Linked DNA regions of Lepisosteus oculatus. The protein of the gene in region 2 interacts with the protein of the main gene of each other region in a pairwise test. Links are inferred from orthologs where the notes say so. Each region holds a gene or a part of one and is shown on either strand. Other genes may lie near its edges.

Evidence for each region.
Region 1: the proteins of cep70 (region 2) and sh2d4a interact in binary tests that used the Homo sapiens proteins (3 or more experiments, as listed by UniProt). The link is inferred for Lepisosteus oculatus from reciprocal best matches to the Homo sapiens genes CEP70 and SH2D4A.
Region 3: the proteins of cep70 (region 2) and histone acetyltransferase KAT5 interact in binary tests that used the Homo sapiens proteins (3 or more experiments, as listed by UniProt). The link is inferred for Lepisosteus oculatus from reciprocal best matches to the Homo sapiens genes CEP70 and KAT5.
Region 4: the proteins of cep70 (region 2) and hspd1 interact in binary tests that used the Homo sapiens proteins (3 or more experiments, as listed by UniProt). The two-hybrid records come from large-scale screens. The link is inferred for Lepisosteus oculatus from reciprocal best matches to the Homo sapiens genes CEP70 and HSPD1.

Annotation. Positions count from the first base shown.
Region 1 is NC_090698.1:26,585,981-26,593,601, forward strand, and holds the start of sh2d4a (SH2 domain-containing protein 4A), read right to left. Parts: upstream 3,016-7,621; 5' UTR 2,782-3,015; intron 929-2,781; 5' UTR 863-928; intron 1-862. UniProt on the Homo sapiens protein: Inhibits estrogen-induced cell proliferation by competing with PLCG for binding to ESR1, blocking the effect of estrogen on PLCG and repressing estrogen-induced proliferation. May play a role in T-cell development and function.
Region 2 is NC_090707.1:6,583,101-6,590,236, reverse strand, and holds the start of cep70 (centrosomal protein of 70 kDa), read left to right. Parts: upstream 1-4,136; 5' UTR 4,137-4,176; coding exon of another isoform or gene 4,177-4,195; intron 4,196-4,610; coding exon of another isoform or gene 4,611-4,633; exon of another isoform or gene 4,634-4,662; coding exon of another isoform or gene 4,663-4,686; intron 4,687-4,734; 5' UTR 4,735-4,950; coding exon 4,951-5,013; intron 5,014-5,406; coding exon 5,407-5,506; intron 5,507-6,352; coding exon 6,353-6,476; intron 6,477-7,136.
Region 3 is NC_090713.1:22,611,298-22,618,681, reverse strand, and holds the start of histone acetyltransferase KAT5, read right to left. Parts: upstream 3,007-7,384; 5' UTR 2,952-3,006; coding exon 2,934-2,951; intron 2,815-2,933; coding exon 2,748-2,814; intron 2,094-2,747; coding exon 2,025-2,093; intron 1,582-2,024; coding exon 1,445-1,581; intron 866-1,444; coding exon 797-865; intron 1-796. Other genes in the region: kinesin light chain 2, read right to left, coding at 6,548-6,631, 6,995-7,052. UniProt on the Homo sapiens protein: Catalytic subunit of the NuA4 histone acetyltransferase complex, a multiprotein complex involved in transcriptional activation of select genes principally by acetylation of nucleosomal histones H2A and H4.
Region 4 is NC_090707.1:7,078,082-7,085,984, forward strand, and holds the start of hspd1 (60 kDa heat shock protein, mitochondrial), read right to left. Parts: upstream 3,009-7,903; 5' UTR 2,874-3,008; intron 1,879-2,873; exon of another isoform or gene 1,860-1,878; intron 1,156-1,859; 5' UTR 1,153-1,155; coding exon 979-1,152; intron 492-978; coding exon 156-491; intron 50-155; coding exon 1-49. Other genes in the region: hspe1 (10 kDa heat shock protein, mitochondrial), read left to right, coding at 3,707-3,709, 6,326-6,481, 7,220-7,309, 7,401-7,451. UniProt on the Homo sapiens protein: Chaperonin implicated in mitochondrial protein import and macromolecular assembly. Together with Hsp10, facilitates the correct folding of imported proteins.

The DNA.
Region 1 (7,621 bases), on a different chromosome or scaffold from region 2:
CTTCAACTAAGTATTAAAATTTGAATGCCTACAGGGGCCAAATAAGAGATAAGCTGCCTTCTAAATAAATGCAATACAACCAGTTAAACCTCTCTCTCTCTGCAAAACCCAGTTGCCACAAAATAATTAGAGATTGTAGGTGTCATCGAATAAGGTAGTTAACACATTGCATTCAACTTAATCCACACAGGAGGGGATCTATAAAGTACAATTCTCAACTGAATTATGCAATGACCAAGAGAAAGAAGATTCTACGGTCTGAAAAGACCACAATTGACCCCTTTAGTCTTAACACTTAACACAATGTTTGGCACAAGCGTAACACCACACATCATCCTGAGAAGCGTTTTCCCTGCTGTGAAGCATGGTGGTGGCAGCTTCACTGTGTTAGTGTTTGGAATACTTGTGAAGACATGACGCAGAGTGGAAGTAGCAAAGCACAGAAAAAAAACCTTCTGCAGTCTGCAACAGACCAGAGACTTGGGAGACTTGCAAAGAAAAATTGACAGAAATTGATGTCCAGGGGTGGAAAGATGGTGGAGATTTAATCCAAGAAGACTCCCGGCTGTGATTTCTGCCAAATGTGCCTCTCTCAAATATTGACTTAAGGGAGGTGAATACTTATGCAATCAGTTATTTTCCGTTTTATTTTTATCATTAATTTAGGAGGATCAACAGAATTTGGGTTTCACTTTGACATACAGTGTTTAGTGTCAATGGCAAAAGATCCCAGTTAAATACATTATGATTCCACATGGTAACAAATCAAAATGTGAAAAAGTCCAAGTGCTGTAAACAGTTTTGATCGCAACTGTAAAAACTTTGAAGTCAAGGAAAACTTCTGGGGTTAAAAAAGAATCACCTTTGATGAGTTGTATCTCATGAATGGATGTCAGCCAGGCCAAATATTTACATTCTAGGTATTTCCCTAAAAGACAAAACAAGCATGGAAAGCTGAACTAAAATCAAAGCAGGTTGAGGTTATGGTAATTTAATATTGAATACTACAAATACAAATGCAAAAGTGCACAAATTGAGCTTCTTAAACTGCTTCACAATTGGCTCCACTAGCCCATATTCATTATGAAACAATTAAACAACAGGGAAAAACCAATACAGTGTATTAACCAATATTAAAATAATATGAAATAACTATGCCTGTCAAGACTTCATAAATGATTTAATGAGTCATTCTCCAAATATTTCCATTCCAATGGGAAATTTTAAATGATTTCAAAACATAACCATGCTTATACCTCTCCATTCAGAGGCAAAATACATTTGTTTTTCCTGGTAGAATATGACCTTGACATGAAAGTCCATTCAGCAACTAGATAATGAAAGCAAGAAACTGTTACAGTCGTTCAAGCTGTGCGAGTAGATTGGTACCCTTCTGTTGTTTCTTCATTTAAAATGTAGATTCTGCTCAAAGACTGTATAATTATATTGGTTGCCCTGACTCCAGATATTACAAGGGCACATTATGTGCGCTCCAGGATGCATTTTCTATGGAAAACAGTTAAATAATATAAAATTATTTGGAGATCATGTAACAGAATTTAATATAATACTAACAGCTTTATGTGAACTCTTTAAGAGTTACCACACTTCCTGTGACCTCAAGCTGGTTCTGTAAATTCACATTTTGTTTGCTTTTTATTTAACTAGATGCCTAGATTTCCATCTTTAACACTTACAATTTTAGAACGCTGGAAACTAATTTCTTTGTAGCAAAAAGATTTAAAAAGTGGGCCTAAGCTTCCCCTTATGTCTGCTGTGCATTTAGGCAAAGACTGCATTTCGCTTTAAAATGATTTGATCCCCAAAATATAAACGAAGTACAACAAGGAAGTGCTGAATGGGTTAACCCCATGTGGAAATCTAGCCGTGCAAATATTTAAAAGCTAAAATAAGATAAAGATAATCCCGTGGAAAATTTTATTTGAATTTAAAAAAATCTAAAAAATACACGTTGAAATACGACGTATCCAACTGCATGGGCTAAAAAAACCTTTGAACATACAATTGGGCTTCGAGACACTACCAATAACACACAAACACAACAAATCTGAACACAATAGGCTACGTCACAAGTCTGAAAGAATCCCGTGTTCAATCACTGGCTTTCATTTCAATCATTATTATGAGATTTTAATGTTTGCGCATTCAATAGTAAAGTAACTTTTATGCGTTTCTTTTGGTCATGCTGTGAGGACACGACGTTGGAGTAAAGAATTAATGGCAAATGCTTGCTTCTTTGCCAAAACGGTCCAGGACTCTCAAAACAGCTTTAGCAGAAAGGAAATAAATATATTACTCAAATATTGTGTTAGAAGCCTTTTTTCTTAATGTATAAGAAACAATCCTTCCTATGCCAAACTACTTAGACTACAATGCTAGTTAGAATCGATACGCCCAAAATACTCGAATAATCAACAAATTACGTTTGCCCGCATAGCCAGAAGTCTGTTGTGCAGTAAAGGATACGTCAATATAAAGGATTTATGCAATTTAGTGATAGCCCGACACAGTGAAAAAGATTAGAATAATCTCGTTGGTTTTTCTTTGCATTGAAATGAATTCATTCATTGCTTTGCATTGAGATTTTCGTTGGAAATGGAAAGTACTTTCATTTACTAAAAATGGTTTACAAAAAAGACATTTTCAGAGACAGAAAGAACTCCCCATGAAAAATTGTAACTACTCTAAAAACATTGATAAATGTCACACAACGCTGCTCCATACTAAGAAAATAAAACGAGATGAAAAGAAAAACCTTACCATGAGTTCAAACCACTCCCGTCCCTTGCACTTTTCTCCCTTTTAAAGATAACTTCACGTCACCAAGAAACCTGACTTTTAACTTTCCGGCAATGTGTCTTCAACGTCTCGTGACATTTCTGTACGCCATATACCATGAAGCAATTTCGTTTTATCTTTCTTTGTCCGTTTGTTTTGTCGTACACGTCACATCCAACGCCCAATGCCGAAAGTAAGCTTCAACCCAAGAACACCTCTGTTCCAGGTATTACGAAAGGCTGCAGCTAAATCTCTGTTTATGGTTTCCCCCCGCCTTCTTATTGATCTGTTACATGAACAGATTGCAAATTTAATTGATTTTTTTAAATACAAAATTGCGTATAAACAGTATTTAATAGCTACCTATTAAGAATGATCAAAAGTACAGCAGTAGTTTTGTAATTGTAGTATTTTCTTTTGGGACGTACACATTACAAAGGTTAACTCTCAACACAAATGATGCATTCAGAATGTCTCTTCAAAGCTAACATTTACAGAGTAATATATTATGTTTCCTGTGCCGAGATGCAGATATAGGTGTAAAAATGATAACTGTAGGGTTTTTGAAATCCGAGGCTAGTAATTCACAGATTTTCCCACTTTCACTTTTGTATGTTTGTGTGAACATGTGTTTGTGTTGTGTACACATAGTATCACAGACTCCCATGAAATTTAACCCTACATATGTACTAAGCACACAATTTCTAACTATTAGATCAGGTACTGCATGCCTGGCAGGAGGCAGTTGGTACTAGTGCCTTACAGCCTTTAAGTTGCAACAAAGGTGCAGATATTGTTGTTAAACATTAATATAAAAGTGAGAAAATCTGTTACTTTTCCTCTACTTCAAAGTGACTTTTGTTTGAAGTGACTAAGACATAAAAGGATTTAGATTTGGTCCCAGGTAAAGCTGTAAGTAAAGGAAAACAGTCAAAGTTACCTTTAACCTAGACAATGCTGGGCATGTGTTCCTTGTCAACAGTGAATGGAAAGCAATGCTGCTACAAACCCGAGTCTCTTCACGAACATATTATCATTAAAGCTGCAGTTGTGTACTAACATTTAAATAGCAACACTAAACTAGCAGACCTGAGACACAAGCTATGCTCTGTGTAAACTAACCATGTTTATGATTCTAAACACAAAAACATTGTAAACAGAACCATATCAGGTTAGGTAAAACTAAAATAATCTAGTAATAAAAGCAAAACAATTATTTGCCATGTCCTCCACTAAATATTGAACTTTGTAACAGTGAGGCAACTTAAATGACAGCAAAGTTATTAGTTGTTATTAAAGTTGTTAAAACAAGAAAACACATGTTAAAAGGATATTGAATAATAACCAAATAACTAAAACAGTTCCTATAAAGTGAAACAAAACAACAACAGAACTATAGTGTATCACACTACATGCAAAACAAACAAAAACGTTAGGACATAAAAATGTTACAACAATACAAAACTTGTTAAAACATAACAAAAGTACCAATTATAAACATGTTGTAATCGGAATGAGAAAAATCAGAACCCACGATCAGTCCAGTTTCCTTCTTTCTGGGGTATCAAGCCGGTCACTGGTTGGCCCTTTTCAACCAGGTTCCCTAAAGGGTACCCTCATGTGAAGCCAAATCACCACAGGCAGCTAGCTGGCCACCACAAGAGCTGGCCTGGTTTTCTTAAGCAGCACTGGGTTACCGGGAGTGATGCTCCTCTGGCCCAAATCAGTGCCCACTAGCTCCAGGTGAGCTCCCAGATGAGTTGACACTGTCCAATCTTGTAGCTGAGAAGTGATAAACGGTAGTGAGGCCATTGTTATCTGGAGACAAGATGTGTTTCGTGTCCTGCCTGCGTTCCTGCTGCTGTGAGACAGGTGGCTCAGAAATGACATCCGGGCTCCCCAATATCTGGCAGAGCTTGTCTGAGGACACAGAGCGACTCTGTGTGCTGTCTGTGTCTCTGATGCCAACAGGTGTAGGAGGTGAGACAGGCAGATGGTTGGTACTGCAGACAGACGTGCATTCTTGGAGAGGCATATCATCATTGGTCTGGGGCAAAAAAAACACTGTGCCTGCTGTAGCCTCAGAGCAGTTGCCCTCCTCTTAATGGGCTCTTCAGTCTCAGGCATATCGTGGAAGCCAGGTGGAGGTGCACGAAGCCAAGATTCAGTTTCAAGTCTGGTTCCTTCAGTTGTAGAGGGCTGTTGCTGTGGAGCTGGTGGCTGTGTGGCAGTCTCTGTCTCGAGTGGTAGAACGTTGTTTGCTGGCTTCTGTGCAGTAGAACATTCCACAGCGGACGGTTCTAGCCCTGACACTTGATCATCCAAAGAAAACACAGACTGGTGTTTTCCAGTGTTAACCCAGTCTCCTGCAAGACTTGTCTTTCCTTTCCTGTTTAGAGAGCAACTCACTCTCCCCTCTTTCTGCACAGTCTTTTTTACAGTATAGCATCCCATCACTATACTGGGGCATTTGGACCCACACAGACAGGAGGGTGAGAACCTCCTGCTGGCCCCACTAACACTTCCTGCAGAAACCTTATTTTGTCCCAGGAGGTCTCCCGTCCAAGTTCTGACCAGGATCACACCTGCTGAGCTTCAGTGGGTTGCTAGATGTGAGTTACAGCATGATATGGCTGCTGGCATATTAAGACAAAAGCAATGCTACCTTGTTTTTACAGGCTCTATTCTTTAATTTGTTTTGATTTTTCAATAACCATAGTAAATACACTCATACACAAATGTTCTCAAGACCACGTTTTTTATTTGATATGACACAGCACTTAAAAAAAATTAAAAATACCATTCCCCACCAATTCCTCAACAAGGTTCTACATACTGTATAAACCCCTAAATTACAGTCTAAGCTAAAAAAATTAAGGTGCTGCTGGAAGACATGTTAGTGGGACCAGTAGGGAGCGCTGTCCTGCAGTCTGTGTGGTTCCTAATTTCTCAGTATAGTGTTCACTAAGGAATTATTTATGTATTACAGTCAAACATCTACAAACATCTACCCCACATAATATGGCTTTGACTGCTTCAGCAGCTACCCCAACTCCCACCTAACTACCTTTCACTGGTATCACAGATCTTCATCCATCTACAGAACCAGTCTATCACAGAGCAGACAGACACAAACACAAACATGTACACACTCACATCAAGAACACTTTTCCCAGAGGCCAATTAACATACCAGTATGTCTTTGCACTGTGGTAGAAAACCCAGGACAAACTCATTCGAACACAAGCAGAACACAAAAACTCCATGCAGATAGCACCCCATGAATTGAACCCAGGGCCCCAGTGCCACCACTGCGCCACCATGCCACCCCTCATGGATCTTAGGTTCCAGAGGAATAATATCAAAAATGAACAGATCTTCAAGGAAAAATATTAACTACTTTTGAACACAAGATGGCGCTCATAGTATACCATACTCAGATACCGGCCTGACGAAGATAGTTCATTCATCACCAAGGTAAATTAAAGATGATTGCTTCCTGCAATTGTTAAATAAATATCCTGTATAATCTCCTTTACCACAGTTAACAATAGATTTATTTACCCTTCACAGTTGGACGTATCCAGACAAACTAAACTGAGAGGCATTCAAAGCATAGCATATTAGTTTTGTAACCAGTTTTTGTAATGCATTTTTAAAATCTCAACCATTTTTAATGCGGCTCAGTACAGTCTATGTTATGGTTTCGTACTTTGATTAGTTTAAATCACGTTAACTCTCAGGATACCTAAAATGTAAATGGCCTTTAAGCATTGCTAAACTGTATTGAAAAAGTAATACGAGTGTTTGTTCTGTTCACTTAAAAACCGTTTTTGTGCGTTAGATGCAAAAATGTAATTTGTACTGAAATGCAGAAGTATGACAGCTGAATAGAATGTCATTGAATGTTTGCAGGGAGAGCAAACTTTCAGCATGAATTCAGTGATCTCTGATTTCAACAATGTGTAGGTGTCATGGGGTGACAAAAAAAGTGGTTGTACGACAGTGGGTTGGGGGGTATGTTTACTTTATGTAACAGCCAGTATTTCTGTCAGGGTTTGTTGTGTTTTTCTCCTTTGTCTCTGCTCCCCTCTCGTTATTCAGGGTCTCCAGTGACAAACAACATTCCAATTGAACGACACACTGTTTGGCTCGACACCCATCAATTACAACATGATCAGCGTCGACACATTGGATTGTGTGGGGACCCTGAGCAGGCTGAACCAGTCGTGGAACAGGGGAACAGACAGCAAACAGAAAGGACAAAGGAAGGAGGGACTGTTCCTCATGTAGTCCCCACTTGTTATGTCTGGTTTCTCCCCACGATCACCCAGACACTCCCTTCCTTCATTCTAGTCCTAAAGTTCTGGGGTAAATACAGCATTCATAGCACATGTGTCACCTTATCTTACAAGAAAACCATTGTTAGCTAAGGAGCCAGAGGATGTGTGTTGTCCTTCTGGATTAGTCTGCCAGGAGGGCAGCCTGTGAGGTCCCTGGGCTTGATAAGATAAGATAAGATCACTTTATCAGCCATATACAATTTCTTATATTAGGAATATAATACCTCAACTCCATGAGACACAGAAAGAGAGAGAAAGGTCAGAGCAAAGGGTCAGCCATTTATACAGCACCCCTGGAGCAGTTGGGGTTAAGGGCCTTGCTCAGGGGCCCAACAGAGTAGGATTCCTCTGCTAGCTATAGGATATGAACCGGCAACCTTCCAGCCACAGGTGCAGATCCTTAGCCACCGCACAATGATCAGTTGATCAGGACGTGCTGATGTAGTGTAATGCAGGCAGGTAGCCATTCTATACTTAAA
Region 2 (7,136 bases):
TTTAAACACAATCGTCAATTTTAGTTTTTAATCCTAAAAAGTTTAAAACTCTACTGCTGCATTCTTCCAGGGCAAATTATAATCCTTTTTTTACATAAATGACGTTTCTGTTCGTTAGTTTAGTGGCACAATCAACTGGTTTCAGATGGTTATATTTTTAAAGAAAATGCATTTAATTACAATCCGCGGTTTGAATTCAGAAATTGTTAATCTACACCGCAAAACACTGCCGAGTCACGTCATCTGCCTGCTGTACATACACGGAGGTTTATATGGGGCTGCTAGTGCCGAAGGACGTGATCTTCTATTTGGTAATATTTTTAAAGTTTTTTTGTATCATTTACTCCCGTCTGTCTGATTTCTGTTTTGTGTTGTTACGCAAAATACCGATAAAAGGACACAGATCTGAACAAATTGCCAGATTTAAGAAATGAATCCTACTAACAACTTGACGTGGTTCTCCACGTTTGCAATTTCTACTACTAGTTTCTACAAAGAATAAATTGCATTTACAAGTCTCAAAATCACGATGAAATAGTTTATTGCACCTTACCTGCTGCTTAACGCAGGTATTAAACTGATTCTTGCAACAGACGAGAATACCGTCACTATGGAAACGCAATGCAACCTAGTGTACAGTTAACTGTGCAATTTACACATTAGCGTGTCAAAATCGTGTCGGTAATCTAACATGAATAATACGATTACGCATTATTTCTGTTACCTTTTGTGTCTAAATATGTATGTGAATTCGGTTTAAAATGTTCTATTCACTCTTCACACACACCAAGAAGGCACAAAACAACGCAAACCTCGCAGTGACGTCACTGCAAGGCTTGTAAGATCTCTGCGTTCCTCGCGATATTACGTTAACAAACCTGCCTTTCTTCCTACCCGAATTCCTGAGAGTTATTTCACATATCTATGGTAGCGACACGCGATTGTCCAGACGTCCCGGAAAACTCGCAGTCCCTCAGGATGTAGCCAATCGCAGACGTCCCTCCTCTGAAACCACACCTTCTGCCCCCGCCCAAAAGGGGCGTGTCAATAAACGGATTCGGGTGGGAATAAATGATATTCCGTGGCCCGAGATTTTCTTGAAAGTATTAACATATTATGAACTATATGAGTATCGGTTTCACCAATGTTTCCGATTTCACCATTTATTAGGAAACAGAAACAATTTCACAAAGTTCAGTACCAATGCCATACAGTCACGCACGACTGCATGTCGAGATTAGTTAGTGTTGTGAAAAGGCACTTATCAATTTTTCTATGCATGCATGTGGAAATTTTTTTCCCCAGTACGTATCAATTATATTTTGTTCTAGTTGCTTCTGGAATTGGGAAGCAATTTTCTCCCAACATTTTGGTATTTAATTATTCCCCAAGCCCTGCCTGCCTCAGTGCTGGAAAAGTACTGTTTGTGTCACCAGTGGACCTGCAGAAAGTTAGTTTCCAAATATACAGCATAACTCCCCCATCGAATAAAAGCGGATTTATTAAGAAATAGAAAAAATGACTACATTTAACATTGTTGTGCACCGTTGACACGCAAGAGGAGCAAACAACAGTCTCAGCAGATTGACAAATAACTGTCCCGCACAGAGCGCGCGGGGGCTGCGGTTTGCACACGTGTTTGAGTTCCCTCCTTTGATAGGCCGCTGTAGTCCGTCAATCACATTCCTCTAGCCAATTACCTCTCGGGGTGGAGGGATGGGGCGGGCCATCGCCATTCCGTACTCTCCTATTGGTTGAATTCCAGGGAAGTTTCGCTTTACTTAGCCGCCGCTGTGTATTTCAAACCGTCTCGAGCCCGCATGTAAAAGTAAGATTGCACCCAGAGGGTTGCAGGAACGCAATACAAATATTTCTTAAGATTAAAGGGGGGTATCAAAACACTGTTCCATCATAATAATAGGATATTTATGAAAACAAGATTGCTGCCCAACATACAGGTAAGGTTACGAGCCTTTCAGCTACCCTGCTTTTAACGGCTTCTGACCGCTTTTGTATTTCATTTATCCACGTTTTTAAAACAAGTGTGCGCGACAGCTAGTTTTAAAATGACAACGCACAAGACGCCGCTTGGCCGTGCGAGTACGGGGTGCTGAGGCTGTCCCTCTGGCGCCTACTTCCGCAGCGTCTTGTTTAGCAGTTTCCCCACAAACCTCGGCTGAGAAAGCGTCTTATGTAGCGAGTCTGTTTCTGCGACTAGAGGTTGTTCAGTAATAATGGAGGCTGCACAACCCTCCGTATCTCAAGCCATAAATTGAAATCCATCCCAAATAACCAAGCGATTCACCGAGTAATGCTCGTCAATATCAACGAGTGGCTGTTCAGCCTGCCGTTCTTGCCCGGCTGCCGAAACCAGCGGTGTGAGGGGTCTCGTTCAGGCGGTTCTGGCAGAAACCAGGGTACCGGCTGCAATTACAGGGGTGTGCATCTTGCTCCAGACTCCCAGACAGTCCTCTCCTGTGAAGAAGTGCACTTTCTCTCCGTTCCCACTCGTACCTTCATGCTCATCTCTTCTAGGGCGGCCTTCCCTGCCTGTTTTTAAAGCAGATGCACCCGTGGCGCGAGATGAATTATTAAATTGGTGCAATTAAGTCGTTAGCTAGCAGACGGTTAGGTCATCAAGAGTGGAGTTGGAACAAGGATCTGTAGAAACGTCGGCCACCATAAGAGCAGTATTGGACAGCCTTGACCCAGCTGTCTTTCTCAACCCATTTCGGAGAGGCAGTATTTATAAGAGGGTTTGTAATACCGTTACCAAAACTATATATAATATTCTAAATACGGTTTTATGAATGCAATATATAATTATATTGATCTTAGAGTAGAACAAAATAAAAAAAGAAAGAATTAAAGTAACAGCTGAAGTAAGGGAAATATGCTAAGATTATACCATAATGTAATAGAAGATTCATGTTTGAATTTTATTCACATGCTGTTCTTCATGTGCACTGCATTAAAGCCAGGTGCAAGCTTTATGTATGTTTGGTTCCCAGCCATCCTGGTTTTCTTTCCAGATGAGCTCAACAGCCGATGAATTAGTTGATCTGCTTTCTTGTTTAGACTTGTATCTTGTTTCATAGGTTGGTTTTGCATGTTAGTTACACCCTATGTACTCTGTTTCCAATACTTCAACACACAGAACTTTATGCTGCCTCTTCTTATTTCTGACTAAACAGCTCTAATTTATCGATCACCTGATGATCAACAGACACAGGTGGGAATTACACTATCAGACTCGCCCACAGGTGAGAAGGACACTATCAGACATATACTGGGCATGACATTGCATCAGATATATCCATTGTTGGATTGCCTCTTTATTGAACATCCCCCCAATGGGCGTGGTCACTGTATCAGACACCCCCACAACACCAGTTTTTTCCCTCTGCAGTTCATAACAGTTCAGGCAGCACACCTGAATGATGGCTGTTCTAAAATTCAGAAACAGGCACTGGTTACATTTGACCTTTTCTGATTTGAAAGTAAATTTACAAACATGCCACAAACCAAAAAGTGAAATCAACTAGCCTGTAGAGTGAAGCAAAACCCAAGAAGACTGATGCTCCAGGACCGGGGCTGCAAACCAGTGGCCTAGAAAGCAGGGCAGTTCAGCATGAGGCTCAGTCCAGTCCAGTCCAGTCCAGTCCAGTATACTGCACTCCATGTCAGGTTTCTCTCCAGCCAGCTGTTTAAGGATGTGATTGACAATCATCAGTAAAACAGCTGAGGTGCTGGTTAGTCTGAAGGACTGCAGTGGAGTGGATTGACATTTTCAGTTGAATTTGAAAGATCATGACCTGTATCTGTTCTTGTTGGCTTACATCACCCATTGTGGCAGACGTCTGAAAGAAGGGACATGCTCTTTATCAGCCTTAACTTCACAGTAGGGGTTGACAACCCAGGTCCCAGTGTGCCATGAGTCTGACTGGGTTCCATTTCAAAGTCATTAAGGCCTTAATGACTTCCTTAAGTGTATAAGAAGCCCAGTCAGCTGTATTTTCCAGGTGTTAAGTGAAAGATTACTTTCAAACCTGCAGGAACCTGAAACTGCAGGACCAGCTTTGGGCTGTGTGGGCTCAGTGAAAATAGGTCGTTTTTCATGCTTTGTTTGTATTTGTAGTACCTTGTGAAGAAGACTAGACTCCGTATCCCACAGGCATGGCTCATCAGAGCTCGGGTAAGTTAATAAAAAGGACTGTGTCACCTTGAGAACATTTTTCTCTTCCATACACGTATCTGAAAACCAAAATGTTGTAGCAAAACAACTACACTATAAGGGCATGTAAAATAGTGGACTGCAGTACAAAATGCAGCACTCAATACTATTGTTTACCTGAGGGGACTTCTCTCCATCATTAGAAAGCTGCTGATTCTGTTCCGTGCTGCGAATGCCACACGTTACACTTGCAGACACAGACGTTACAACGTAGACACGCGTGTTGTTCATGCAGACACATACGATCCACACACAGATGCGTACGTGATACACACAGACACACGTTAGCCCATCCTGCCTGCCTTTGGAAGGAGGAAGGATACCACAGCATGCGGAGAAAGTTGTTAAGTTTAAGAATCCTTTCTTTTTCTTACAGGTCAAGAAGTGGACAATGAGCAGGTCAGATATTGGTTTATCCCGTGAATAAAATGAGGGAAGGCAGCAGCTGGACGGTGAGGCTGCTCCTGAGCTGACAGTGCTTGCTCTCTGCTCCCATTCAGAGCTCCTGCCGGGGGGCAGTCACCTGTAACCTGACGCCCGGCCCGGCCGGGTGAGGCTGCAGTAGGAAGGAGGGGAGGGGGGCGGCCGCTGCAGACGCAGACAGAGCACCCCGCCGCGGCTTCAGGAGACAGGGCAGCGGCCGGGGAGTCCTGGAGAGAAAAGAGCTGGGCAGGGGCTTCACAGGGCTGGTCCTGTGAGGCGCGGCGGGTCGGAGGATGAGCGCGTTACAGCAGAAGGACAGGACCTATGTTTATGTGTGGACCTGCAGCCAGTTTCAGGTACAGGACGCGCCCCAAGCACAGCTCCAGGGATTTCCTTAACGTTCCCCTGGGATTGAGCACTGGGAAGCAGTTTCTCCCTTTTCTGTGGATCGAAAGGTCATGCCTTTCAGGGTGTAAGCGGATCCTGTTCCCTTACAATGATGAACTGAAGGGAAACCGGTTTATTTTGTTGTTACCGAGCCTTGCTCCGGGAACGTTTTCACTGTGTGTGGGAGAGCCGTCCTGCTTTCTTCATGGACCCTCGTCATTTAGACCTGCGCTCGGTCTGACCCGATTTCGGATTTCCTGTGTGTGCGTGTGGTAAGAGGTGTCGATGTTGGCGTGCCCACAGCTGCGCGGCTCCCCGTTCTGATTGATTTCCTGAGCGGCTGTTTTCTCCGCACTGTGCAGCAGGAGCAGCTGGAATGGGAGGCAGTGAACCGGATACTCCAGCACCACGGGTTCAAGCCCATTCACTTCGCAGACCCCATGGAAAACAAGAACCTATCAGGTGCGGCACAGTCGTGCGGGTCGATGCAATGTCTGCATCATCCTGCAAAATCGTTAACGGAGCCTCTCGTCATATGGGAATGGGAACTGTTTTAGCAGGTGCATGACTGTTTGGCATAAAATATCGAATGGTTCCGTGCTCATTTGTGTCTTTCGTTTATACATTTCTGGACTGACACAAGGTTTTAAGTATGCTTTTGTTGTTTGATGCTCATGTTCAGATATGTGAACCCAGATTGCTTTATAAATTGATTTCAGATTTGAGGTCACGGAGCCTATACACTAAAGAAGCGAGAAGTGTGAAGCTTCAGAAAGAGGCTGTGTTGTAATTTTGTCTGGCATGTGCGTAGTGCTTACACAGTGCCTGGCTGAAATGCAATAGTATCGAGGCAGAGTTAAAAATGATAATATGTAATACAATTACTTCTGTAGCTTAGTAATGCAGCTCAGTTTTGTAATCACAAAGATCAGTGTATTTTTTATTTTTTGGTATCATTAAGCTCATTCATTGTCTCACGTGGCTCAGCTGTGCTGCTCAGCTGCGATACAAACATGACCGCTATTGTTTGCTTCTGTTATTATTCCACTGTTACTATGGTACCTCAAGGAGCTCCGTGTTTCTAAGGTTTTGCATTGTTTTCTGCACCTGGAGCTTGAATTAACAACCTCCCTGCTCCATCTAGACATCCTAAACCCCCTGTGGCTTCGGAGTCACCTGGCCTTTGCAGGGGTTTACTGTCAAACCCCACCTCTTGTGTTCCAAGAATCCTTCATCTCCATCTCTGTCAATTGCGTGTTGCATGAAGAAGCTATTCTCATGTTTAATTTGACATTTCTTCTCTTTCAGATCTGGTTCTGTTGGAGAAAAGGTCTGCTTCCGAAGTGAGGCTGGCTCTGAAGACACTGTTAAAGGACACCGAGAGGAGACAGGCCTTGATCCAGGAGCTGATTCAGACTAACAATCAGCTGAAGTAATTCCCATTCTCATTTCTCTTTGACTTCAGCGCAGGTTTCCGTTCTGTACCCACATTGGCTGAGAGTGTTTATAATGAGACATCAGCGCCCTCACCCCCAAACACTTGGGGTTTAGTAAAGGAGGACAAAACCTGTATTTGAGTATCTGAATTGGATTCAAATCAAGGGATTCCAGGGGTTAAACTATATCATGACCCAGCGCAGACCTATTTTTAAATCTGTGTCCATTTGTCCTCAACACCACACTATAGAAACGACATACGTGGGTCTGGAGGTGCCAGACATTCTGAAAAGTTAGTTTTTGAAAACCAACATATTGCCAACACCATGAATAAATGAAATCTCTTTGCACTGGGGAAGAAGGAAGCCCATGAAGTAGGACCACAGTTTCAAACGTTACTCTGAAAGCAGACACAGAACTCCCAGCAAAGACTCTGGTCTGTATAAAGGAAGGTGACTGGAGGCTTCTGGGAGTCTTGCCTTTTAAAGGCCTGTGCTTTGAATGCAGGACGGGAATGGCGATTGTATTTTAGCTGTGTGGGGAAAATCCCACTGGATGTCAAGTCCGGTCCCTGAGCCGCTCGGCCTTCGGGCACGGAGGTGAGAGGGTACTTGTTGGAATCCCAGCGAGCACTGGGGCCGGGAGCCGAGTGAGC
Region 3 (7,384 bases), on a different chromosome or scaffold from region 2:
TGCTGGGGGTCAGACTGCACTGGGATGTCCAGTGGGGACAGTGCTGGGGGTCACAGTGCAATGGGGTGTCCAGTGGGGACAGTGCTGGGGGTCTCACTGCACTGGGGTGTCCAGTGGGGACAGTGCTGGGGGTCTCACTGCACTGGGGTGTCCAGTGGGGACAGTGCTGGGGGTCACAGTGCAATGGGGTGTCCAGTGGGGACAGTGCTGGGGGTAGAAGTACAGTGTGTATTTATGTGAATGTATTATAAGCAAAAGTACAGTTCAATCACATAACACACACCTGCAGGAAAAGCATTCTAGAGTATTTACACAAAGATTTACATTCAAGAACTGCGTCAGACTCGGACAGACCACAGCTTTCTGGCAGGTCATCTGTCACACAAGGGAGAGACTCGGGTCAGAGATGACAACTGCCAGAATGCAGTGGTCTAGTGTCCAGCAGGTCCAGAGCAGGAGATCGGATCGCATCCGCGTGCCAGAACCCAGCGCCCCTCCCTCCGATCAAACCGGTCCCAATATCCGCGCTGCTCCAAATCCAACTCAGGATTCCCGCGGTCCCAGAAGTTAGAAACCTTGGAGAAGGGTTTGACTGACGTAGCTCGGGCGCGACTGGACCGGTCTATCGGCTTGACCACGGGAAAACCGGATCAGGAAATCCGGACTCCGATTCCGTTCCCGGGTTCTGGCACGAGCGGATCGATTCCGTCTCACGTGGCCCCGCTACCGATCTCCGATCTCCCCTCGCCCCTCGCTCCTCCCTCCCGGTGCCTGCGGAAGACGGGTGAAGGTGTACCGGAATGGGGACAGTTTTGCCTCTGGATGGAGCTGTGACCGTTTGGAGGCTGTGATCTAGACTCTTCCTCTGAATTTGAATAGAAAAGGGTGTTATTGACAGCGAAAGACAGTTCAACCTCCTTCTCTGCGCGCCTGTGGTCCTTACTGCATTTCTGCGGCTGCACTGACCCAGGTGAGCTCAGCGGCGCCGGGTCCGCGGCCCGGAGGCCGGACCCAGGTGAGCTCAGCCACACCCCGGTGCACGGCTGGTTTTGTGCAGTCATAAAAATGCAGTAAAAAAAGAGGGTTCACAACGCTGTAATAATCAAGCAGAAGACCGACATGCACAACATCTAGAAGATCAGCACCAGCACAGGTCTGCAGGAACAGGAAAGAGCATGGGACAGCCCGGCGTCACTTCGGGAGCCATCCCGACAGAGTTCCTTCTTCCCGGGGAGGCTAGAGAAAAAGGCAGCATTGGAGACGATTTCCAGAGGCCGAGCCCAGCCTGGTCCTGGGAGCGAGAGGGAGCCGTGCTGAACCGGTGGTCCTCGGGGGCTGTCCGGTCTGAGGCTCACTGGGGCCGAGCTTCAGGCTCAGAAAGAACGGCGGCGTTGGGGGGGGGGGGTCAGTCGCTCTCCAGCAGCTCGGAGCCGTGAGCTCTTACCACGTCTCTCTCCGGGGAGCTGGGCCGCGAGCCCGGCAGGCCGTTCTTGGTGGGCGTCTTGGCCTCCTTTTTGGGGAACTGGAGCTTCTTCAGGTCCAGCCTGTCGGGCGTCACCCACTCGTCCAGGCGCTTGTTGACTGAGGGGAAAAAGAAAAAGCGATCAGTCCGGACCCAGGAACCAGACACCAGAGCTTTCCCGGTGAACAACGACATCACGTCCAGGGTGCACGGCGGGTTCCCTGACCCCAAAAAGGGATCTGTCTGACCCAGCGGGCTTTTTCAGAACCAACAGGGAAAACGCAAACCAGAAGAAGCTATAGGGAAGAGCATCTCAAACCGAGAACGGGAGGCACTCCTTTACACAAAGCCTGGTGGAGGAGTGGAACAAGCCTGTTGTTGAAACAGGTATTCTGGCTCCTACCAAGAAACAGCTGGATGAGATTCCGAGATCAATTAGTGACTAACTAGAGATTGGCTGATTGGCTCCTCTCGTCTGTGACCAGTCTTGTTATTTCTCAAGAACACAGGGCGTTAACAGTCTGTAGTACATCCAGCAGGCGACGGGCGAAACGGTACTCACAGTCGATGTAGTGAACATAGTAGAGCTTGCGGCTGTTGATCTCCTTCAGGCTCAGGATCTCGGCCAGGGCTGCCAGGAGGACAGAGGCAGAGGTGTCAGCACCCAGCAAGAGCTTCCGCCCACCGCGCCAGGGAGCTGCCCGATCCCAGGCAGGACCCCACGACCCCTCCCCGGACAGGACCCCAGCCCACTCGGGGCTCCAGGCAGGACCCCAACAGCCCACCCTGGACAGGAGCCCCTACAGGGGGACAATTACAGGCAGCAGTTTCCTCACCCAGCATGGCAGGAGTGAAGAGACTAGGACACCCAGAGAAAAGCCATAAGCACATGGGGGGGGGGGGGAGACCGTGCACACTCCACACAGAAGGTGCACCAGCCTGCAACTGAACCCAGGTCCACACAGCTGCGAGGTGGCTCTTCTTGCAACCCACGCCGGAATAAAAAGCATCCAACATAATCAGCCCGCCTCCAGCGGCGGGACAGCAGCGCCGTGCACCGCCCGCACCCGAGAGCGCAGAGGGCGCGTCTACTCCGGTGCACTCAGTGCGAGCTCCCGCAGCGCATTTCTCCAGAGTGCAACATCTACAGCATCGCGTTACAGAGGCAAGCGCGCAGGTTCAGGTTGCATTTCCCGCTGACAGTGTATTAAAATCAGATATAGGAGCGCAAACAATGCTCTAAATGTCAATATTGTATCCGCCATGACAGCTGCCCGTTACTCACGCCACTCGTCCTCGTTCTCCTGGTTTTTCCTCAAAACCGGCAGCCGACAGCCCTCCACGATCTCCATCTGTTAGGAGGAACGGGACAAAGAAGGGTTTACGTTTCTGGAAAGGTAGAAAGAAAAGTCCCGCACACAGTTTTTAATCATAAAAAAATAATCGAGGACCATCACGGTTATTTACTCACATTCGCTGAATCCGCCATCTTGCTCCGCTGAGCACAACAAGGCCCAGGGGCGACGGAAGTACGCAACCGACGTGTCCGCGGCTCAGGCTAATGACGCCATCGCCACTCCAGCCAATCAGCGTCCGAGGAATAGGTGAGGTTCCGGCCCAGAGGCTGGGGCTCGCATTGGACGCCTTGGAGGAAATTATGATATTTAAAAACATAATCAATGGCATCTGATTCCCAATCTTTGAAAATCTAGGTGATCTTGACTTTCTATTGAAGTGGAATTTAATATATGAACATAATTTCTCATCACATACGAACTATGTGTGGAATAACTCAGCAGGGTGAGCCTGGCCAGTACCTGGAGGGGGAGACTCCTGGGAGAGCTGAGGCTGCTGCTGGGAGAGGTGTGAGTGGGACCAGTAGGGGGTGCTCACCCTGCGGTCTGTGTGGGGCCCCAGTACAGGAACGGGGACACTATACTGTAAAAAAGGCACCATCCTTCAGCTGAGACATAAAACCGAGGTCCTGACTCTCTGGTCATTAACAATCCCAGGGTGTTTCTTGAGAACAGTAGGGGTGTTACCCCAGCGTCCTGGCCAGATTTCCCCCTGGTCTTTACCCATCCTAAGATGGAAATGCAACTCCAGTCATAATTTGAAAAATAACAAGGCAAAAACGTAAACTTGTGCTCTGATCTGCAATAACCTGATACAGCACCCTGCCAGAATAAAATGAGCAGCCACGTTATGCCCCTGCCCATGCACACGGAACCAGGGCCCTGCAGTCATTTGCAATTATTAGTTGCAACTCACACCTGACGGAGGCTCCCCGTCCGAAACGTTGCATTTTCTTTCTTCTCTCTTCAGCCTGGAATAAACCTATTATTGTTCCTAATTACTTACAGTAGATAAGTAAGTGACAGTGAAGTGCTTTGGTTTGTGTCCTCTTTGCGTACAATGAAGAGAACGGAGGACCCCCCTGCACACAACAACCCAGTCAGCGCCGCGGCCCCACGGCCCGAGGGTCCTGGGTTCGAGTCCACCTCGTGTACCTTCCCGGTGGAGTTTGCAGGTTCTCCCGCTTTCCCGAGGTGTGCTTCTGCTAGACTCCACCGCCGCCAGCGCCCTCCGGTGGGCAGACAGCTCACAGAAATAAAAGCACGGACACACAGAAGAGCCAGGACTCGGGCGTCGTTTTGGAAAAGTGGATTTTTAATGAATCTTTCATTCGAACGTACATTGTGGCTTGGATATTACAGGCCCTCCACTCACAGTACAATGTATCCCTACATTCCTACCAGTGTAACACAGAAATGATATTCCATTCTCTCGCAGGATCGTCTCTCCAGTCACAGCCTAGATACCCGTCCCCTATAGCACAGGCCACAGGCTCTAGTCCCGTCCAGTCCCCTATAGCACAGGCCACAGGCTCTAGCCCCGTCCAGTCCCCTATAGCACAGGCCACAGGCTCTAGTCCCGTCCCGTCCCCTATAGCACAGGCCACAGGCTCTAGTCCCGTCCCGTCCCCTATAGCACAGGCCACAGGCTCTAGTCCCGTCCCGTCCCCTATAGCACAGGCCACAGGGTCTAGTCCCGTCCCGTCCCCTATAGCCCAGGCCACAGGCTCTAGTCCCGTCCAGTCCCCTATAGCCCAGGCCACAGGCTCTAGTCCAGTCCCGTCCCCTATAGCCCAGGCCACATCATAACGACTCACAGGTCCTCACACACCCTATATCTCTGTCCCCTAAAACTACCTCCTCAAAGTATTCTATTGCCCTGCCCCCCTAAACCTACCCCCACACACACCCTATAGCCCTGCTCTCTAAAACTACTCCCACACCCCCCCGTCTTATGGTGTCCCCACTCCTCCAATCCACCAGTGGCAGCCCCCCAGTAACAGGTCTCCCCAACTTTCTATTCTACCCTGCTGCCAGAAACAGCTCCTTGTGAAACTGGTCATTTGTAGGGTCACATTGCTAATGTGGGGTTCAGACAGTGGGGCAGGAACCAAGTCACAGCAGACCATGCACGTGGAAAGGAAAGTGGGGGTACACAGCATCCCCTTCGTCAACAATGCAATGCGATTGTGCCACCTGAAGGGGTGCACTTCTGGGCCACCAGGGGGCAGCCCGAGTGTGCAGGGGTGCGCGTTGGTGCCAGAGCAGACGAGCCAACAAACAGCAGGATACAGGCGGCAGGCATGAGCCTTGTCCAGTGTCCATCACCGGTGAGTGTCAGCACATAGCACTGACCCCACTGGACACCTCAGGGCAGTGTGACCCCCAGCACTGACCCCACTGGACACCCCAGTGCAGTGTAATCCGCAGCCCTGACCCCACTATACACCTCAGTACAGAGTGTCCCCCAGCCCTGACCCCCCTGGACACCTCGGTACAGTGTGACCCCCAGCACAGTCCCCCCTGGACACCTTGGTCACCATGGTAACAGAGACACTCTCCCATCACCACCTCCCTGATGACAGGGATGCAAGGACACCATCCCTTGTTGCCACGGTGACTAGACATAGCCTCAAGGATAGAAGAATGCTGGTGGGGGGTGTAGGTGATGTAGAGATGATGGAGATACACTGCCCTGCCAGAATAAAATGAGCAGCCACGGCCATACACTGGCACCCTCACAGCAGGGCTCGACCATTAGTTACCATCAGTAAAGAAGTGTAGGGCACCTGGCACCCCCAGCCATCCACACACAGACAGAAGGAAGCAGGACCACCCCCCCTCCCCCCCACACACAAACACCATAGCCAGACCCCGCGCCAGTAGCCCCTAAACTTCACCTGTGCTCTGTGCGAGAGAAGCAGTCAGCCAGCTCTGTAAGCCAATAATTTAGACCCTTATATACAGACACAGAGCCAGAGCGGACAGAGGCCTCCCCACAGAACCCCCCCCCAGCGCTTCTGACCTGACCCCCCAGCGCTTCTGACCTGACCCCCCAGCGCTAACCCCCCCCAACACTTCTGACCTGACCCCCCAGCGCTAACCCCCCCCCCCAACACTTCTGACCTGACCCCCCGGCGCCCCACCCCTTCAGTAAAGATGAATATTCTACACCTAGACGTGCCCTGCGCTAACGTGGCGAGTTACAGAAACAGGCGCTGAGCATTCACGAGAGCTGCATGCCTCGGGCGAGCCGAGAGTCTTGAGAGGAGCGAGGCCGAGCGCGTCCGCCGGGGGGCCGGTCCGCCACACCACGGCAAAGAGGCGCCCCGGGCGTCCCGACTCCCCCCTTCCACCAGAGGGCTCCCGGCGAAGACGCTCGACCTCTCCCTTTGGAAAGCGGCATGCGGGATAATTTCTGTTAATTTAGAGAACAGTTCGTTTATTCACCCCCCCACCCCCCACCCCGATGGCCAGTTCAGCAAACATCTTGAACTGCTGGAGTACGCTACACCCTGTCCCGCCCCGCGATAAAGTAAAGGCTTCTTCGTGGCAAAGGCAAATTCTTATCTCCCCCCCAAAAAATTAAATGCGCTCAGAATTTTGGTTTGCATGTCTCAGGAATTTCCAATCAGGCAGGAAACAGGGCAGCCCCTCCTGGTGCTGAACGGGAGGAGGGGGGGGGTCCTTCCTTAACACCACCCCCCCCCCCCCACTTCGGGGCTCAACTTCATCCAATCAGAGAGCTGCGTCTTGAGAGGTCAACGTTGCTGGCGCTCAGTCCCCTGGATTCCGATAGGCCAGCGTTAGGCTGCTGCAAAATCAGACAATAGCCGTAAGATTATTCGATGGATACTGACAGAGACGGCAGCACAGACGCACTGAACCGAAGTGATACACTGGCACACACACACAGAGACACAGAGTGGCACCCAGCAAAATGCACTGACTCACGCATGGAATGCCACCCTGACGCGCACGCAGACGCGCACGCAGACACGTACACAGACGACAGGCGCACACAGACAACGACTGGCCCCCAAGCCAGCAGGGACACACTGAGTGGCACGCAGACACGCACACACACAGACGCACACAGATGACGACTGGGCCCCAAGCCAGCAGGGACACACTGAGAAGCACGCAGACGTGCCGACCGGCGGCTCCGAGCTCGAACCTGTGCAGGGTCTTCGGCGGTCTTGTTGAGGAAGTTGAGAGAGCTCGCCCGCTTCATCCTGCGGACGAACACAGGGGGGGGGGAGGGCACAGATCTCACAGACTGGCCAGCGGAGCAGAACAGGGCTCTGGAAAGCCACGCTACAGCCCGAGTCCGGTTCTGTAGAGCCCCACACTGTAACCCCAGCCTGAGCCCGGTACTGTAGAGCCCCAAGCTCTAACCCCAGCCCGAGCCCAGTACTGTAACCCCAGCCCGAGCCCGGTACTGTAGAACCCCAAACTCTAACCCCAGCCCGGTACTGTAACCCCAGCCCGAGTCCGGTTCTGTAGAGCCCCAAACTGTAACCCCAGTCCGAGCCCGGTACTGTAACCCCAGCCTGAGCCCGGTACT
Region 4 (7,903 bases), about 490 kb from region 2:
AGATGATGTTGCCGATCTCGCTGTCCCCGTTGGCAGAGATGGTGGCCACCTGAAAGAAGGCCAGGAAAGAGAGAGAGAGGGCCGTCAAGCGGGGTACCCCTCCCTTTTACCCTGGGGGCAACGAGGCGCACCCCTTCCCTCACGCAAGGCCTTACCTGGGCGATCTCCTCGGGCGTGGTGACGGGCTTGGAGAGCTTCTTGAGCTCGGTGATGACCGTGTCCACGGCCAGCATGACCCCGCGCCGGATCTCCACGGGGTTGGCGCCTTTGCTGATGGTGTCGAAGCCCTCCTTGGCGATGGCGCGGGCCAGCACGGTGGCGGTGGTGGTGCCGTCGCCGGCCTCCTCGTTGGTGTTGTTGGCAACGTCCTGCACCAGCTTGGCGCCGATGTTCTTGTACTTGTCCTTCAGGTCGATGCTTTTGGCCACCGTCACCCCGTCCTTGGTGACCTTGGGGCTCCCCCAGCTCTGCTCGATGATGACCGTGCGACCCTGCACGAAGGCACAAGGCGCTCGAACCAGGACAGAATCTCAGGCCTCAGGCATCCATCTCTGCACAACATGCTTCAAACCCACAATCCATACACAAACAACCCACCGCTACACATTTCCTGCTGCACACAAACGTGTACACGCGTCACTGCCAAACAATGCGTATCACACACACACACGCACACACACCAGGTGTCCCACCCCCTCCTCCTCCTCTTCCGACCCCTCTCCTGCCAGGTGTCCCCACCCCCTGCTCCTCTCCCTGCCCCCCCCACAAGGTGTCCTACCCCCCTCCTCCCCCACCAGGTGTCCTACCCGCCCCCTCTCCTCTTGCGACCCCTCTCCTGCCAGGTGTCCCCACCCCCTGCTCCTCTCCCTGCACCCCCCACCAGGTGTCCTACCCCCCTGCTCCTCTCCCACAAGGTGTCCTACCCCCCCCTCTCCCACCAGGTGTCCTACCCGCCCCCTCTCCTCTTCCCACCCCTACCTTGGGCCCCATGGTGACGGCGACGGCGTCAGCCAGCAGGTCGACGCCCTGCAGCATGAGGGCGCGGGCGTCGGCGCCGAACTTCACGTCCTTGGCGTAGCAGCGCGTCAGGTGGGGCGCCAGCGCTCGGCACGCCGGGCGCATCCGTCTCATCACGGTGGGCAAGCGCAGCATTTCCTGCAGGGGTGCAGCAGAGACGGGCCTGAGCGGCGGACAGACGGCGATCCCGCGGATCTTGCTTTCCAAGGAGCAACAGGGGGGGGGGCGCCTTGGCCTGGACCTGTTCCGGCTCCAGACCCCAGCTGTGTACCCCGAGACGCGCACGCTCACCCCACTTCTGCCACGGCGCGGGGCTGCACTGCAAGCTCACCCTGCCCGGCCTGTCTCCATGGCAACACAGCCTGAGCAGGCGCAGGGGCCTGCTTCAGCACTAACACCCCGGACACGCAGGGCCAAGGTCGTACCTGTAAGGACACGGCCTTCCCTCGAAAACCCACCGCCGGGAGAAGGGAATCTGTGGCGATTAGACAGCTGTGTGGCGACTGCCGGATTATCAGAGCTCTTAACCGTGAAGGCACACAAGGCCAATGCACTGTAAATGCACGACCGGGGTAATAGGCTCGAAGCGGGCCGCAGATTACTCAACCACGACTCCTTGAGCGCCTCCTGCGCCAGGACAGACCCGACGCCCTCTTATTTTACTGTGTAATTACACTTTCAGCAGGTGTAATTTTAAAAGCTAGAAGTCGATGTGGGGGATAGGGCGGCTCGGAACGCAGAACTGTTCTTTATAAAGACCGTGTGGGGGGGGTCCTAACTGTTTACAGACAAGAAGCCAAAAAAAAAACAACAACAATCAAATCCACTTCAAGTAAACGCACTACAAACCACCCCTCAGTCTTGTGACAGCGCCTAATCTTTCACGGCGTCTTTTCGGCATGAAGGTCCGTCCTTCCGCCCGCGTGCGTGCGTGCGGGGGTCACGCACCACAAGGTCAAAGCCGTGGCTGCGTCGAGAGCGTGCCGGTGCGCAGCGGCGCACGCGGAGCTCGCTAGAACTGAGCTTCATCGGCGCCCCCCGCTCACGAGGACATCCCTGCTCGCGGTGGAAGCTACTATCTGGACAGCGCAAGACGTAGCAGAGCTTACGACTAATCACTATCCAGTGATGTGTTTTTAAGTTGACTGTCTTAATGAGAAGAGTACAATAACCTCCTTAACAAAGCGCAATCTTTGAAAACGTTAATTCCAACATAAAACCCCCCGACTTCTCCGAATACATGCAGTTCATTATCCTTCTAGCAGTAGAGACGTAGCCGTCTCTGACTGGGATGGCGAGGTTCAGTCAGACGCTGACGAGAACAGACTGGAGCTCTCACAGCACTACACGGTTCCGCAGAACCGCTCGGCTCGCCCGTTTCACGCGGCAGGCGCTTAACGCCGTGCTGGGCGATATTCGAGATGTGCAGCGCAGCAGCGGGCAGACAGCAGAATCTCTCCCCCCTCCACAGCGTCCGTTACAGATGCAAGCGCTCATCATTCATGTCCAGTCCAGCCGGAAAACTACAGAAGGACAAACGAGCCACCCCCAATCCCTCACCTCGGGGTGTAAAGTGGAAAACACAAATAGGCACAGAAAAGCGGACGAGTTACACCCGAAGCGGCCAAGGGCAGGCCCACACGAAATGAGGAGGTTCACGGCCACAGCCGAGCGAACCACCGCTGCAGACACGCGAGCAGGCACGCACGCACGCCCGCCCGCCGCCTTCAGTCGGCTCGAACCGAGCTGTAGCGCTCCGCTCCGTCACGGCAGAGACTGAACAGGCTCCCCAGGAGCGGCGTGCGGAACCGTGCTCCAGCGGCGAGCGAGCGAGGAAGGGGAGCCCGGGTACTTACTGTCGGGGTGGATGGGATGAGGTCAGGAGGGAACAGACGACCGCCGCGCAGTGGGCTCTGTCAGAAGAAGTAAGACGGCGAGCTGCGCTGCTGCCTAAAAGCGCCTCCTCTCCGGCCTCTGAGCGGCGCACATGGGCATCTCCATCCGGGTAACGCTGGGGGCCGCCCCGAAACCTGTATAACTGCACACACTCGCCCCGCTGGGGGGGGGCGCGCAAGACTGTGGCGGTGAAGACCCCCCCACACACACACACCTCATTGGGGCCCGCCCGTCGCGTTACACGGCTCCGGGAACGTAACTTTAAACGCAGGTGGGATAGAGCGCGCCAGGGGGGGGAACCTCCATGCTCGTTCCGGGGCAGGCGATTTCCAGAAACTTCTCGGACGCCATTGGAGGAGGAAAAAAAGTTCGAGGGGTCGAAGGTGAATGTTGTGTAATTTTGATGCAATGGCGGGGGGGGCGGAGATGCACGCTCTGCTGCCAAATGCATCGCTTTGAAACACATTGCACCCGTGTATGAAGCAGTAATTCCGCTGTATGCACTCACAGGAGGCGGGGGCGGCTGTCGGTTTGCGCGCTGGCTGCAGGGCGCGCGGGGGATCGTGTCGGGAAGGTTCCAGAAGGCTCTGGAACCCGGGACAGGGGGAGGAACCGGCTCGGGGGGGGCGCGCATGCGCTGTCGGGCGCCCGTATTTCTTCACGTGGGGCGGCGATTCTGGTGTGTGAGAGAAAGCCAAGTCTCACGCGTGGAGAAGCCCCGAGCGCAGGACACAGGAGGGTCGCGGTGGAACCACGCTGCTGTGTGTAGAAACGTTCATAGAGACACGTCGGCATGGTAAGACTCTCTGCTCCGTACGCAGGCCGTGCCGTAGGGCGGCCTGCAATGGAGCAATTTTAAAATGTCTGGATATCCAGATCAGAAGCTCCGATGCGCCTTCTCTAGTACTTTCTACTCCGTGTAAGCTGAGCAGCACGCTGGTGAGCGCGCTGTAAAAGCAGGTCCCTTGGACACTTGGTATAAAGCGGGCTCTCACTGGGCGCAGAGGTGGGGATACTGCTCCATACTGACGATAGGATCGGCGCGGTCGCAGGTTTTTAACACCTGCAGCCGCACGGACTGGGCCGGCGGGCGGGCGGGCGGGGGACTCCGGCGACACCGGAGACGGAATTCGGGCTTTACCGAACCGACAGAGACCCGGGGGTCAAGGTCGGGGCCCTCAGACCGGTGCTAGTGAGCAACCCGGCGGGCTGTCTTGCCTTTGGCATTAACGTTTTCCTTTTGGATTATTTTCCGTGTTCCTTCCTAGGTGACCTGACAGAATCCGGCCTTTAAAGTCCGCCCTCTGCTTCCTCGGCGGAGGCGTTTAGTTGTTACGTCCCTGTAAAACGCATGCATGTGTGAACCCCGTAGACCATCGACAGACGTCTAAATAGAAGTGTTGCTCTCAAAGATGGCTTTAAGAACACAATTTTTAAAAAAGGGAACTTAATTTTGTGAATAAATACGTTTTTTTTTGTTCATTCTTTGTAAATGCGTGTGTTTAAAAGTCTTCTTGATAGCTGCCGTACGTGTGTCAGCCGGCTCGGCACGCGTGCCCTTGTAATCACGCAAGTTGCTACACGGAAGAACAAACTGTGGCTCCGGTTTATCTTCAATCACATCCGGGGCAGATATGAAACGTGAACTCGGCGTTTTGGAGGTCCCGCTCGTCTCGGAAGTGACCTCCTTGCTCTTTCCGAGATAGTCGCACATCTAGGCCTTTAATTGAAGCCTTCCCAGTCTCCAGTAGTTACAGGGAGTTACGATGATCTCTTCAATCAAGTAATTAGTTAACCAGATGTGCTCTCACGCAGCACAGAAAGTCTGAGGCTGGGCTAAGTCTTAACACCCCCGGAGAGGGGCAGAACTTTCTGGGTGGACATTTTTAAAACCTGTGATTTTTACTAAAACACGACTTGCCAGTTCCAGTGGTGCAATTTGCATCTGAAGGTGCATGTCGCCTTGGTGACCCCATTGCACTTCTGGGATGAGGTGCTAGTGTGCAGGAGAGGAGGGGGAGGCCCGTGTCTCTGGCAGGATCAATGTTCCCTGCCCTGTGCTCTGCTGACGGCAATCATTAACGATGCTTCCTGTCTGGCTGCCTTGACCACGCGTTGGGAATTAATTCCCTACAGAGCTCACAGGCTGTTGGCAGACGGGGCGCCCCTCCCCCCTGCTCCGCTGTTGTCCGTGCCCTTGAAGTGACCTTGATCCAAGGTCGCGCGCACAGCCCTCCTCCTCCTCCTCCTCCTCCGCGCGGGCCAGGGACAGGACCTCGTGGATCCCTGATCACACGCCGCTTTATCTGTCTGAGCTGCGAGACCTCGGGCGCTCTGCGACATTCCTCAGCCGGCTCCTTCCCCTGTCTTTGCTCCCGAATTCCTCGGCTCCTTCTGCCGACTCATCGCGAGTGACAAAGCTGTTGTTGTCGCGGGTCTCGGCACCCGTGATGCCCAGATCGTGGTTTCATCCTCGTTTTTAACCTGTTGTTCACACCTCTGCGTCGGCACCTTCGGAGGAGTAGCTGAGCAACTCGATGTTTCTGCTCCTCCTCCTGGGCATCTCTCTGCTTCGCCACCCAGATGTACCGCTCGCAGTGAAGTAAAGGCGTGAACACGTGCAGGACTTCCCTCCATGCCCTGGGCCTCTGGGGGAGAGGGAGTGTGCTCTGCCCCCTGGTGGCAGGACAGCAGGACTTCCGCCCTTGGGGTCAGAGTGGCCTGCGCTCGTTGCTTTCCCACTCGGGACGAGGATGCTCTCTCTCCTGCCTCTCTTCTCTCTCGGAGTCGCAGGGCATCAGTGGTGTGACCAGTGAATTAGTGTTGCCAAACCAGATACAATTAACATACCATTTGCAGACATTAATTATTGGACATTTGCATTAAACATATAAAACTTTATTGAGAGACAGGCTCACTGTCTGTTCCTCAGGCTGGGACAGGAGATCACACACTATTTATTATTATTATTATTATTATTATTATTATTATTGAGAGACGGGCTCACTGTCTGTTCCTCAGGCTGGAACTGGAGATCACACACTGTATAATTATTTTTATTATTATTATTAATACAGTGAGTGATCTGAGTGATCTGTCCAAGCCTGAGGAACAGACAGTGAGCCTGTCTCTCAATAATAATAATAATAATAATAATAATATTGAGAGACAGTGTCTGCTCCTCAGGCTGGGACAGGAGATCACACACTGTATTATTATTATTATTATTATTATTATTATTATTATTATTGAGAGACAGGCTCAATGTCATCAGATCACACACTGTGTTGCAGCTCTCTTGAGTTTCTTCCCTTTTCTGATTCCTGTGGGAGTGGGAATTCTGCGATTGGATGTGTTATTTCTGGGAATGGCGCTAGTCTCATCTCTCCCCCCCTCTCTCTCGGACCCTCAGGCGTTCAGGAAGTTCCTCCCGATGTTTGACCGCGTGCTGGTGGAGCGCTTGGCCGCGGAGACCGTCTCCAAGGGCGGGATCATGCTGCCCGAGAAGTCGCAGGGGAAGGTGCTGCAGGCCACCGTGGTGGCGGTGGGGCCCGGGAGTGTCAACAAGGTGATTTCGGGGGTCCTGCTGGGGCGGTCCCGGTCCGCACGCATGAAAGTAGCGCTGCTTCGCTTCAGAAGGATAAACTGCTTTTTTTAAAAAAAATGTCAAAAGAAAAAGACTGAGGAAAAATGACATAGTGGATGACCTTTTAATCAAATTGTTAGGTATTTTGTGTTTACAACCAGTTGAGTAAACTCACATTTTTTTAAGCGTGTTTTTTTATGTACATTCCTAATTCCCATTAGGCACTTGTCTACAGGAGGGGCCCCAGGGCATTATGGGATGTGGGGAAGAGGCATGCTGCAGCTCGCGCTGTTGTGCACCACTGACGCCACCCCCTCTGTTACAGGGCACCTGTCGCAGTGTTAAAATGTGTCGCAGCTGGGTTCTAATAGACGAGATTGGGGGGGGTACAGTTCTTGAGGTGTACTAGATGACCGGTTTCCTAGGCCTCTTTAAATCTTGGACAGCTTGAAGAGGTGAACTACAGCTGGGTCTTGAGCTTTTGGAGATGGGCGGAGATCTGAAGGTAGCCTGAGGGACTGCAGGCTGGATGCCCTCGTGTGTTAAGCTCTAAAGCGGTCTATCTGCCTGTGCATCAGTGCAACAGAGTGGGCTGGAGATGCCGATACTCCCCTGCCTTTCTGATTTTAATCCCGAGAGGAGTCCGCAGCAGGCCGTGTGGACACCGAGCGAACATAAAGTCAGCGTCTGTCCGTCTCTCTCTCTCTCTCTGGCCAACAGAGTGGTCAGCTGCAGCCGGTCGGCGTCAAGGTGGGGGAGAAGGTCCTGCTGCCCGAGTACGGGGGTACGAAAGTGACGCTGGATGACAAGGTGTGTCCCCGCGCAGCTGCAGTCCTGGGAGGAGGTCAGGGGCCGAGTCTCTGGGCGGCGCGCTCACTGGAATGTGTGTTTCTGTTTTCAGGATTACTTCCTGTTCCGTGATGGAGATATCCTGGGGAAGTACGTGGACTGAAACTCCCTCTCCCTCTCCCCCAGCCCCCGCACCCATTCCAGCAGAGAGGAAGAAGGCTGCCCCGTATTTGTATTGTTTGTTTTCTCTTTCACTCGAATGTAAATACGAATTGTGTTTTGTTACCATAATAAAGCAGAACAGCTGGACCCGGCTGTGTTGTCTGCAGTCGTTGAGACCTCAACGTGTCGTTGTTGCTTGGTTAACTCTCGCGATCCTGCACCAAGACCCTGTGCTTGTGTTTCATGCACAGTTGTCGATTCTTGAGGTCTGTTGTTTTCAAAGCCTTCGTCGATGTTGCAGGGATACGTCTGCACAGGCCCGCTCAGGAGTAGGGCCACACTGTCGGGGACAAAATAGCTCCGGTTTCCTGGAGGAGTGAGCACCGTGGGCAGAGTACAGGTGTTTATAACTGTAATCACTAGGACTGCCAGTGAACGTAGCAATTAACTGTG